Linked DNA regions of Coturnix japonica. The protein of the gene in region 1 interacts with the protein of each later gene in a pairwise test. Links are inferred from orthologs where the notes say so. Each region holds a gene or a part of one and is shown on either strand. Other genes may lie near its edges.

Evidence for each region.
Region 2: the proteins of FHL2 (region 1) and NIBAN1 interact in binary tests that used the Homo sapiens proteins (3 or more experiments, as listed by UniProt). The two-hybrid records come from large-scale screens. The link is inferred for Coturnix japonica from reciprocal best matches to the Homo sapiens genes FHL2 and NIBAN1.
Region 3: the proteins of FHL2 (region 1) and RAI2 interact in binary tests that used the Homo sapiens proteins (3 or more experiments, as listed by UniProt). The two-hybrid records come from large-scale screens. The link is inferred for Coturnix japonica from reciprocal best matches to the Homo sapiens genes FHL2 and RAI2.

The regions. Positions count from the first base shown.
Region 1 is NC_029516.1:121,913,024-121,917,319, reverse strand, and holds the start of FHL2 (four and a half LIM domains protein 2), read left to right. Parts: upstream 1-1,452; 5' UTR 1,453-1,579; intron 1,580-4,204; exon of another isoform or gene 4,205-4,296. UniProt on the Homo sapiens protein: May function as a molecular transmitter linking various signaling pathways to transcriptional regulation. Negatively regulates the transcriptional repressor E4F1 and may function in cell growth.
Region 2 is NC_029523.1:7,389,622-7,393,269, reverse strand, and holds part of NIBAN1 (protein Niban 1), read left to right. Parts: intron 1-602; coding exon 603-733; intron 734-1,559; coding exon 1,560-1,691; intron 1,692-2,118; coding exon 2,119-2,233; intron 2,234-3,580; coding exon 3,581-3,648. UniProt on the Homo sapiens protein: Regulates phosphorylation of a number of proteins involved in translation regulation including EIF2A, EIF4EBP1 and RPS6KB1. May be involved in the endoplasmic reticulum stress response.
Region 3 is NC_029516.1:108,813,302-108,816,949, reverse strand, and holds the end of RAI2 (retinoic acid-induced protein 2), read left to right. Parts: intron 1-1,140; 5' UTR 1,141-1,231; coding exon 1,232-2,878; 3' UTR 2,879-3,273; downstream 3,274-3,648.

The DNA of each region.
Region 1 (4,296 bases):
AGTCTCTAGGCAGTGCTCCTAGGCCATGGTGCTTGGAAGCTGGGAGGTTTTGTATGGACAAAGGCAGATGTCATCTGTTCCAGGAGACTTGAACTCATGCTGTCAAATTATGTTGCTTGGCAGGGGTTGAGGACATTTTGCTATGAGCTTTTTTATGTCAGGATGAACCCTTCAGATGCCTACTTCTGATTGGTTTGGCGCTAAAACCATAAAACCTGACTGGGCTCCAAATCAAGCCATAAATCCATTTGTCATGTCAAAAACCCTGGCACAAATTTTGTGTCCGTATCCAGTCTCCACAGCTTGACCAAACAAAGTGTTCAGAGAAGAACTGGGAGGTGACACGACCTCCTAAAAACTATTGAACTACCAACAATTTGAGGAGAAGGGGATGTAGAGAACGGGGCATTCTTTGGGACCGTGGAAGTAATAGATAAATCCAACAGAGAGATTGATGGCAGATAATCCTGCTTCAGGCAGGAGAAGAAACAACAGATAATCTCAGTTTAAAAGCGTAGTATTTCTTCTAAGACATATGTTGCCGTGTAAGGGAGAGTCATTTTTCTGCACCTAGAGGTTGCCCAATGCTCTTTCTTCATCTGTGTGTTGAAGAGGATTACCTTTTCTTCTTCTAAAAAGCAAATTAAAATAGTACAACATTCTGATCAAGGACCACAACTGTGCTGCATCTTGCTCTGTAGAAACACATCAAAATATAGAGATGGATCCATTATGGGCAAAGAGCTAGGATGCAGTCCTGATTCTGCACTGAGCCTTGTTTGGGCAGTTTCATCTCTGCAGCCAGAAGGGCAGTGCCCACAGGATCTGCTGGAAGACCTCTCTTTTACCTCTAATCTCTCACTCCTTATATGTATGAGTGTCCCCTACACCTCTGCTCTACACCTCCCTTGCAGAGAGCAGGGGCCCAGCAGGGAAAGCAGGCTCCTGAGCTTTGAGGCCTCTGCCCATACCCACTGATTTGTGACCACTGATTTGTGCTGCCACTGTCTTCCCCTGGGATCAAATAGAGCACAATGAGGCAGACAGACCACCCTGCAGTGAGGCTGTATGCCTGGGATGGACAGACAAACAGATGAAGGGGAGTTGGAGTTCACCGCATCCACAGAGCAGCTGGCATTTCTGTTAATCCCAGAGCCTTGGGGAATAATCTGATGGAGAAGTTAGAGTTGCTTATAGCTCAGTGAAAATATCAAATCATATAATAGTTCTGGCGTTCTGAGGAACACTCGCAGGAACTCCTGAAAGTAGGTGAGTGTATTTTGAGATCCAGCACTCTGAAATGGAGCAGGTCAGGAGGACAGCAGCCCTTTCCATTGGGGGCCTTGTGTTGCTATATCTGTGATGCCTTAAAAGGCCGGTGGCACAGAGGTACTGCAGTCCTTATCTCCTCTGGGTGCCTGGGGCTCTGGAGATATTATATTTATAGCTCATCTGAAGTACAAATGTCTGTCTAATTACTAAATACATAGTGTGGGTAATCCAATGAAGCCACGAGTCCCTGTGTTTGCTCCCATCCTTCGCGCTCTCACAAACAGAGGCACCACCGAGCTGCAGCAAGGTAAGACAGTGACCAGTCTGGATTATACCATCCTTTGGCCCCTTTTCTTCTTTTCACCTTCCCTCTGTAACAGGGGCTGGAAGTTTCTTAAGGCTTTGGGCAGATATCACAAGGGGAGGGCTTCTTTCTTACCAGAAAAGGGGATTTTCGGTTGTTTGTTCGTTCCTTGTTGCCAGGGCACATACAGAGCATCTGACTTTGTATTTCCAGCCTGTTGTTGGGAACCAGGTGCTAAATAGCAGCTGTTCTTTAGTTTCTGCACTAATAATATGCTGTCGTTTCCATGTTCTCAAGGAATACAACCATGTCTAACTATAGACACTTTCCTGGTTTGAATAGAAAACTGAATGACTTCAGGCGGAAAGTGTGTGATTAGTGTTCTTTTTTCCTCTCCATCAGCATTTTCTTCTTTATGAAAGTGGGGAAAAATAGAGGGCAGAAGGAACATTTTATTTTTTTCCCTCTTTGAGACCATTTCCTAACAGCCTGCAAGGAAAGAAAGCCAAATCACAAGCGATGCTTGTTGATTTCTTGTTTAAACAATTGCTTGATATGGGTTACAGCAGCTGTGTGAAGAGGGAAAAGAAAGAAAAGCACTAAAACATGTCTGCGTATGAAAGCACAAATTCTTCAGAACCAGACTATAAAATAGCATTAGCAATAACTGCCAAATGCCAATTATCAGGCCATTGTTACATTAAATTACTTTTAACCTCATCTCATGAGAGCATTAATTTTCAAATGAAGCCAATAAAAGAAGACCTCTTGGGAAAAATAAGATTGTTTGTGCGTACGCATATATGTGTTTGGATGAATTTGTGCACACATTTTTAATATAAAAATCCTTATAAGGAAAATCTCTTTCATCCAGCGACCATGAAGAGTGATACAAAGGTGATATTTACTTTTAGTCCAAGAACTAAAACTATCACATTTTAAGCTAGAATTTGTTTATTGTGTTAGGAAATGAAATGAAAGGAGTTATTTTGTGGTGGCTTATTTTTCCAAAATACTGAGCAGCCATTGTTCAGTAGGCTTTGACAGGACCTCAGGCCCCTATCAACCCCAGTTGAGCCAAACCTAAGGCTCATGTAAATTGTCACCTCACTTCAAAGCTCTAGGAATTGACCTCAATCCCTAAGTGGAGATTTAAAAGGCAAAAGGATAGGCCGTTAGCTGATCCCAAACTGCTGGAGATCTGCTGACTTTAGCTGGGACGTGGATTTTCACATCAAATGTTGACTGAACACATCAGCATGAAGAAGTTGAATCCAGTCTCAGGGCTGTCTCTGCCCCCATTACAGCAGTACATGCAATACCCTCTGCAATGCTCTGAATCCAGAATCTGAATATCCGTGCCATTACATGCTTCTTGTATCAAAAATACAATTACCAAAATAGCCACATAGATGGGACTCACTCCCAAATGGGAGAGCCCAAGCTGATGTTTGCTCAGCTGGCTAGAGAGATCATTGAGTTGCAGTACCTGGGAGTACCCTGAGGTCTTCTCTGATTCATGACATAGATGTGGCTTATCAGTCTGCTCCCATGTTTCCATCTTCCACTGAGTAGGATATCACTGACAGTGTGTTTGACCTCATTTAGCTTGTCTTGTCTGGGATGTGCTCTCCAGGCTTCCTCTGGCAGGGGGTGATGACCATTAGTGTAGACTGTGTTGAGACAGTGAGCTTAAGAACAAGCTTGTTCCATCTTTTATGTGAAGAACAGAACATAATTTCATCAGAAATAAAAGAAAAAAAGTGATAAATACCAAATAGTCTGCACATGTCTATCTTATCTAAAGGCTTACTATCCCCTCAAGAATGCTTTGGAAGGCTTAACTTCTTCAAACACCACAGCTGATACTTCTGCACATCCCTATGTTCTACTGCACTTATGGTCTGTCCTGCTCAGTTCCATACACGGCTCTGATCTACTTGTCCCTAGTGCTGATGAAATGAGTTTTGTAAATTGGCTACAGACCAAAGGTAGCACTTCCTACCAACGATTGCAACATTGGCTCTGCGTGGGCCACCAGCACATGTTGGGAGCTACCCTAGCCAGATTTGCTGCTCCCCTTGGCCATTTTTTTCCCAGGATCCTGCAGTTATGTTCAACTGATGTGCAGAGTGTAGTAAATTGAGCACCGAAGAAGTTGTGTGTGAAAATAACATTTTCATGTCCTCAAATTCTTTGCCTATCATTCAGGTCTAAGACTAAAACAATAGGAATAAAACAACTATTCTGGTTGGATTCTTAGTGTTAAATTATCGTTGTTGCTACACAGACAGTGTTCCCCCTTAAAAACAAAACAAAACAGAACAAAACAAGAAAAGCAAAAGTAGCATTCCAATCATGTGCAGCAAAACATCAGTGTTGCTTGTTGTTTTTTTCTAAACACTAGCCCAAGATATTTAGCTTGAAAAAATGCAGGAACATGCATACGAGTGCAGATTTTTCACCAGATTTGAATTTAAAAGTGAAATAAAACAAAAAGGCCAAAAGCTTGTTCCCAAAGCGAACCCATGCTGAAGGCAGTCTTTCCAACAATAATACTTTGTTCTTACCTAGCATTTTAATATATGATTAATGGGTGAATATCTTTACTTATTCCTTTCCAAACAGCAAACCATCAGAACAATGCAGACTTTTGATTGCAGCTGGCAGGAGGCTGGGAGTGGGAAGACTCATTCAAACCCTTCCTTAATACAGAAAAT
Region 2 (3,648 bases), on another chromosome or scaffold:
ATTCCCAGAAACCAGCCCCTCAATGTGTTTATTGCTGTTATTGCTACTGATGAGATCTCCATCATAGTAAGACAATACAAGATGAGCATTTCACACAGCGTGGCTAAGTGTCTGTTTACAGTAAAACAAAGAAGGGACTTCTTGTGCCCAAGTCTAGAAAATATCATTTGCAAAGAGTTTTGAGTCAGCTTTAAAATCTGATGATGTGATAAAATTGGCTAGCATGTCTAAACGCTATCCAGTATGTAAACACTACCCACTATCACTTGTGATTATGTTTCTTCAATAAGCTCATCAGCTTGCAGGCATCCACTGCTCCATGGCAGTATGTCTGTGGGAGAGGCAGAGTGTCTTTTTTTAAAGGTAGTGTACTTGGGTTATGTTTTGCCCAATTCTGTCGCTTCTGGAATGAGAAAAATCTGTACTTGTGTTATCACAGCAGCTGAATGCATCCATGAGGGCTCCCTGACCTGCTCGGCAACAAGTGGCCGTGGGTGCAGTTGGGCATTATTATGAGTTGGTGGTAAAAACTTCTTTGGTTCTGCATTACAGCTTCTGAGCTAGTGTACGTGAAGTATAATTAGTCTTTATTTGTCCTTCAGGAAAAACAGAGGCTATCATCAAAAACTTCAGCCCACACTACAAACACCAGTACGCCGTGGCTTTCTGCAAGCATGTGCAGGATGAGCTGGAGCAGCACCGCAACTCCCAGTCCCAGTTCCTGAAAACCAGGGTAGGAAGACGCGTAAGCCTGGCCCCAGCCTGAAGCTGCCTACAGCTTTGCTCTCCTTCATGAAATAATTAATGTTAAAACTATTTAAACAAGCCATTTAGTAGCTGTAATACATGAAAAACATGAACTGGAAGTGTATCAGCTACCAGCTGGACTTGGTTTTCTTGTTTATCCTGGTGTTGGATGCTCTTAAGTAAAGTTAATAGGCAATACAGATACTCAGAGCTTCTAAAAATCAAGCCCAAAATACTTATGAAGTTACTTAGATGTTTTCGTATATAAAACCCCAGTGCTTTAATATAATGAAAATTATTTGGGGATGGACTTTTTATAAAGGCATGTCCATTACAGGATGAGGGGAAATGACTTTAACTGGAAGAGGGTACATTTAGACTAGAAATTTGGAAGAACTTCTTTACTGTGAGAATGGTGAGATCTGGAACAAGTTGCTCAGTTGAGGCTGTGGATGCCCCTCCCTGGAAGCACTCAAGGCCAGGCTGGATGGGGCTGTGAGCCCTCTGGTGGGAGGTGTCTCTGTGGGCGGGGGGTTGGAACTAGATGATATTAAAGGTCCCTTCTAACCCAAGCCAAGTGATGATTCTATGAAAATACAAGACTGATTTTTCTGGCTGTGTTTAAAATCATGGATTTCTGATGCTCTTGAAATGTACAGAGAAAAGCAGTGTGGTTGGGAGTGGAAGGTGGTGTAATAGAAAAGCAACATCTTTCCAAAAACTGTATGCTATTTATCAGACCACGTGTGCAAAAGTGTTACAAAGAAGTGTAAATCCGGAATCATTTCAAATCTAGAAAATTTTCTTTATAGCCCAAATCAGAAGCTGGGACCGTCTTGTATGAAACAGAGTTGCTGCATTTTGCTGAGGATGTGAAGAAGTGGAAGGACAGATATGTTGTTATCAAAAATGACTACACTGTAGATTGCTTTGAGACCAAAGAGGTAAATGTTTCCTCCTGTTATGTTCTTCAGCACTCCCCAAGAGACTGAGATCTGAGGAATCTGTTGCTCTAAATGCCTTTCTTCTAGCAACAGATGAAATATCCCAGGGAGGCTGTTCCAGCCTTGCAGCCTTGGTTGGAAACTTCACAGGGATGCCCAAGAGTCTGCTGAAGTACCTTTTATTGGCTCCTCTCTTCTGTCCCTGAGTCTTCACTGGGGCTGATGAGCTTTGAATGATCTTTTCTATATACCATTTTTACTTTACTAAATTTTTTAGACTTGATATGTCCAGTGAATATATCTGACATTCAGCCTGACAAAAACCTTTTTATTTGAGGAATTTGTGCATTAACTTTGTCAGTAACGTAGTTTATGCTTTCCCCCTTCTTAAATCTCAGTTTTGACTCCCTCTGTCATGATTTTCCAGGCCTACCAGAAAGGACTCAGCCCTAAACATCATCTTGTTCCTGCGGGAGGCAAAGTACTGACTTTAGAAGAAGATTACAATTTGCTGTCTGATAAACATTTTCCAGATCCTGTTGGTAAGACTTGGTAAAAGTTAGTGCCAAACCTCAGGCTCTTTTCCTTACAGAAACCACATCTGGGCAGACTTTGAGGCTAGGCTTTAAGCTTACAGAAGATGCAAACAGCGTATTTTCTAAGTCAAAACTTAATCCCAGAGTAGACATACACGAAAGATGCCATGAACTAAAACGTTCAGAGAAATGCTGGCTCTGTATTTTTCCAGTATCCCTACACAAACCCTTTGGAAGCTGTGCAGAAATGGGGCAGGAACTACACCACTATTGTTCCCAGCTTTGTTAATATGCCTGGTTTATTTGTTTCCATTTTTAGATACCAGCTGCCTGTGTTGATTCACAGCTGATAGGGCATCCCACAGAGACGACAGGAAGGTTGCTGTTTCTGGATTTGTTGTTTCTGCAGCAGGAGTTGCAGGGTTGCCCCCTCCTGTGTCCCTGAAGACAAGAAAAGTTCAGGGCTTAAGGAGGTTAATCGCTATGTGGTGTAGAGTCAAGTTTGAAAAAGGATAGGAGGAATGAGAAAATATCTATCTTTTTTTGTAGAGGGCTTTTTTGTGTGGTTTTTTTTTTTGAAGTCCTGTCTCATATTACTTAAAAGTTATGACTTCTGGCAAGCGTCCCTGATTTCCCCTTTCCCAAGACTGCTGGTGTAGGATGGTCAGGGGCTGGCGTGGAGCAGCAGAGCTTGGAGGTGTCCTCTGTGTCGTCTCAGCTCCAGAGGAATTGGGGATGAGCAACGTGGAACAGCCCAGGGCCACTTCTGGCTTCCCATGGCTCTCCCTCTGCAAGGATTGTCTCAGTTGTTCTTTTACAACCTTTCTGCCCTTTTGTGCAATGCAGAAGAGAAGACTCACCAAGGTGAACCTCTTTTGTGTTTGGATGCACAGCACCGAGACGAGATTGATGTTGTAGAGCATCCCTTGTACACAGTGATTCAGGTCAGGGTGCAGCTACAGATCATCATCATAGAATCCTCAGAGTCAGAAGGGACCTTTACTTTGTGAGTTTTTAAATTCACCACTAGGGCTTGAATTGACAGTCCATAAGGTTGTGTTGCAGTTCTGTATGAAAACAAAGGGAAAAGGGGAATTACTGCTGTTCCTTACAATTTAATACAGTTTGTTTCCGTGTGGAAGACCTTTTATGGTCTCTGTGTGGAAGAGACCAGAGTTATCCAGTAACGTGTTCATTTGCCATGGAAATGAGTTACAACCCAGTAAAATATTTATATTATATTGCCAAAAGTATGTTATTTATGTCTGCCTTGAATACAGAACAAGAAGCCATAGAAGAAGATCCAACCCCCCAAAATTCAGTGCATTTTAAGTTGAGATGTGTTCTGTCTAGGGTTGTGTGGGAAGGAGACTGCTCAAGCCTTTGTTCAGCTACCAAGGGAGTTCCCGGTGTACCTCTGG
Region 3 (3,648 bases), about 13 Mb from region 1:
AGTCTCTGTCCTTTTTTTTCTGTTGACATTTGCTTGGTTTAGATAAAGGCATTGGCTGGTAAAGTAAATCTGAATCAGAATCACAGAATGGTTTGGTGAGGACTTTAAAGCCCACCCTGCCCCAACCCCTGCCATGGGCAGGGATGCCCCCCACCAGCTCAGCTGCCCAGAGCCCATCCAGCCTGGCCTTGAGCGCCTCCAGGGACGGGGCACCACAGCTTCTATGGGCAGCTGTGCCAGCACCTCACCAACATCTGAATAAAGGATTTCTGTCCCTAGAGGTGTTGAAGAAACGTAGATGTGGCACTGAGGGAGATGATCTTTAGTGGGGTGGTGGTGATGGGCTGACAGTTGGACTGGGTGATCGTAGTGGTCTTTTCTGACCTTTATGATTCTAGGATTCTATCTGCCCTTGTAAAAAGCCAGTCTCCCTCCTGTTTATAAGCTCCCCTCAAGTACTGGAAGATCACAATGAGGTCTCCCTGCAGCCTTCTCTTCTCCAAGCTGAACAAGCCCAACTTCTTCAACCTTTCTTTACAGAGGAGGTATTCTGGCTCTCTGGTCATCCTCATGGCTTCCTCTAGTCCTTCTAAAGGGCCGTGTCAGAGGTACTGCACCAATGGCCTGACCCACTAAAGTAAAACCCCATGGGAGGAAAACAAGACAGCTCTTACAAGGGAACCGAGGACCCTTTGCCACGGTGGAACATTTCTGAGCTGTGTATTTTTAGAAACGCTTGGTTTTGTGCTCCTGCTGAGTTAAAGCAGTGTGCAGTCTCTGGGCTCTGCCACACACTGTCATTAGGCAGACTTTGTTTAAGGCGGCAGAAGGGGCTGCCTGAGCCCTTGGGTTGGCTTGCATATGGGTGGGGCTTTTTGACTACAGGCAGCCCTCAAGTCCTTTAAATTATCTGTGTTTATGGCTAAATATAAGTTCCTCAAAACTCTTCGTACAGCACTCACGGATGTCTGTATATATAGCATCGCTGTGTACATTACCGCTGTGAGTTGTGGAGCCGCTGCCCTGAAACGTGGAAACGTTTAAGGGCTTGTTTTGGTGACAGGGTCTTCCAAGACAGTCGCAAATGTTTTGTTAAGGAGGAGATTTATGCACTGCCTAAACCATGTTTCTGCATCGCAGGCCAAGCGATGTCAATGCCGGAGCCCATGGCAGCCCCGTCCTGCTGATGGTGATGTGAGCACGGCGCTGCGGAGCCACAAAGCCCTGCGAGATGGAGGAGCTCTACAAGGAGACCCCCAACCTGCCCATGGATGTCACCAGCCCACCGGCAGCGATGGCCAACAACAAGCTGGAGAACGGTGTGGCCCAGCTGATCACGGCAGAGGCCTGGAACATCAACTCAGCTGACCTGATGAAGAAGGCCCTGTCCCCGCTGGTGACCGTCCCTGCTCCCTCCATCCTGACACCGCCGGCCGAGTCACAGAGTGGGGTGGCACTGAAGGTGGCGGCCACCGTGCTGCAGCCCATCTGCCTTGGGGACAGCCCCGTTGTCCTCCCCATCCACCTGCAGGTGGCTGGCAGTGCTGCCCCACAGATGCCGGCTGGTGGTGCCACCCCATACGTCATGACCACGCAAGGCCCCGTCCCACTGCCAGTCCTGCTGGAGCAGCATGTCTTCCAGCACCTCAACTCACCCCTGGTGCTGCCCCCTGGCACTGCCTGCCCAGCCAGCCCCCTGCATGGCAGCCTCTTCCCGGGCGCCTCTGCCCCTGTCAGTCAGCCCCAGCTCCTGGACCCCAAGCCCTCAGGCCCAGGCCAGGAGCCCGTGCTGCCACCCGTCTTTCAGACGCCTGGTTTCGCTGCAGTCCTGCAGGACCTTTTCCCCTCAGGGCAGGGCACCCTGGGCTCAGCCCCCTGCCAGCCCCCTCCTGACTATGCTGCCCTCCCCCCCCAGGCCTTCAGCTCACCCCTCTCCCCTCTGGTACCCCCTGCCACACTGCTGGTGCCCTACCCTGTCATTGTGCCACTGCCCGTCCCGGTGCCCATTCCCATCCCTGTCCCCATCCCCGTACCCCACGGCGCTGAGGCCAAGGTAGCCACTGACCCACCCAAGCCCCCAGTCTTCACCCCGCAGCCCTGCAAGGGCACCCAGACTCCCCTGGAGAAGGAGGAGACAAAGCCCTTCGACCTCGTCCACCAGCGGGACTTCTCCCAGCTAAGCCGCCACACTGTCATCAAGATGGGCAGCGAGAATGAGGCGTTGGACCTCTCCATGAAGGGCCCGCCTGTGCCTCGGGCCTGCGAGGCTGCCCCGCCACCGCCATCCCCTGAGGATGGGGCACTGGACCTGTCTCTCTCCTCCTGCCGCAAGCCAGGGGGCCCCCATGGGGAGATGGCCGGCAGCGGGCCCAGTACCGAGGGCAGCCCACAGGACAAGCCGGCCACCCCTTTCACTTCCGCCAAAGCGCCAGAGGCTGCGGGCAAGGCGGAGGGCAGGGTGGCGGGGCCAGGGCCAGGTGAGCTCCTGCGGCCGCCACAGAAGTGGTTGGTGGAACCAGCCGGGAGGGCGGCCTGTGAACCCAAGGCCGGTGGCAACAACATCGAGATCGTCAGCACCTCGCAGACAGCCAAAGTGATCGTCTCCGTCAAGGATGCTGTGCCCGCCATCTTCTGCGGCAAGATCAAGGGCCTGTCAGGGGTGTCCACCAAAAACTTCTCCTTCAAAAGGGACATGCCCCAGGACTCAGTGTTGCAGTGTTATGATGTGAAGAGCCAGCCCGAGCCCCGGGACAACGCCGAGGCGCTTAGGAAACCCGTAAAGAACAGGAGCGTAAAGCTAAAGAAAATGAACTCGCCCGAAATACACATTCTTCCAATCAAGAAGCAACGGCTCGCTGCCTTTTTTCCAAGAAAGTAAATTATGGGTTTTTAGAATTTTAAGATTATTATGGAAAAAAAAAAATAAAATAAAAAAGATGCACTTGGTTTAAAACTCATTTAAAACTTTAAACTATCTTTGTAAGTTATTTTTGGGGGAAGGGGGGAGAGGAGCAGATGTAGAGTCCCTATAAGCTGGGTTTCTTTTTTTGTTGGTTTGTTTTGTTTTGTTTTGTTATTAAATTTTGACTTTTCGTGGGAAACTGAATAAAAGCAACCTATTTTTCAAGCAGATTGCACATTTTGCAGCTTTAATGGAGTAACGGATGAGTCAGAGGGGTAAGAGCTATTTTCACTGCCATAAAGTGCTTTGATGATGTAATTCTTCATAATGGTTAGAACGGAAATTTCAAAATAAATGTTTGTACGTGCTAATCGGTGGCGGGATCTCTGTCGTTTCTGAAGGGCTTTGGCCACGTGGAGGAGGCCCGGCCAAAGTCTGCAACCGCCCTCACATGATCAGAGTGAATGCTACTGACAACCCACCCGGGAGCAGATTGGGGTGTGCTGCAGGGGGCACTGCACTCCACTGGGCTTTGGAGTGGTAAAAAATGAGGGTAGGTGAGTGGTGAGGCCAACCCGGATCTGAAGTGTTGAAAGCAATAGCAGCAGTTACTTAAATGACAAGGTCTTAAAATCTGTGAGAATTCAGTTGCCAAGGAGTGATGAGGTAAAATTGGCCTAGTTTTTTCCCAGCCTGACTGTAGATAGGTGAAGGCATTGTTTATTGTTAGTTTTATAGCTGTCTTT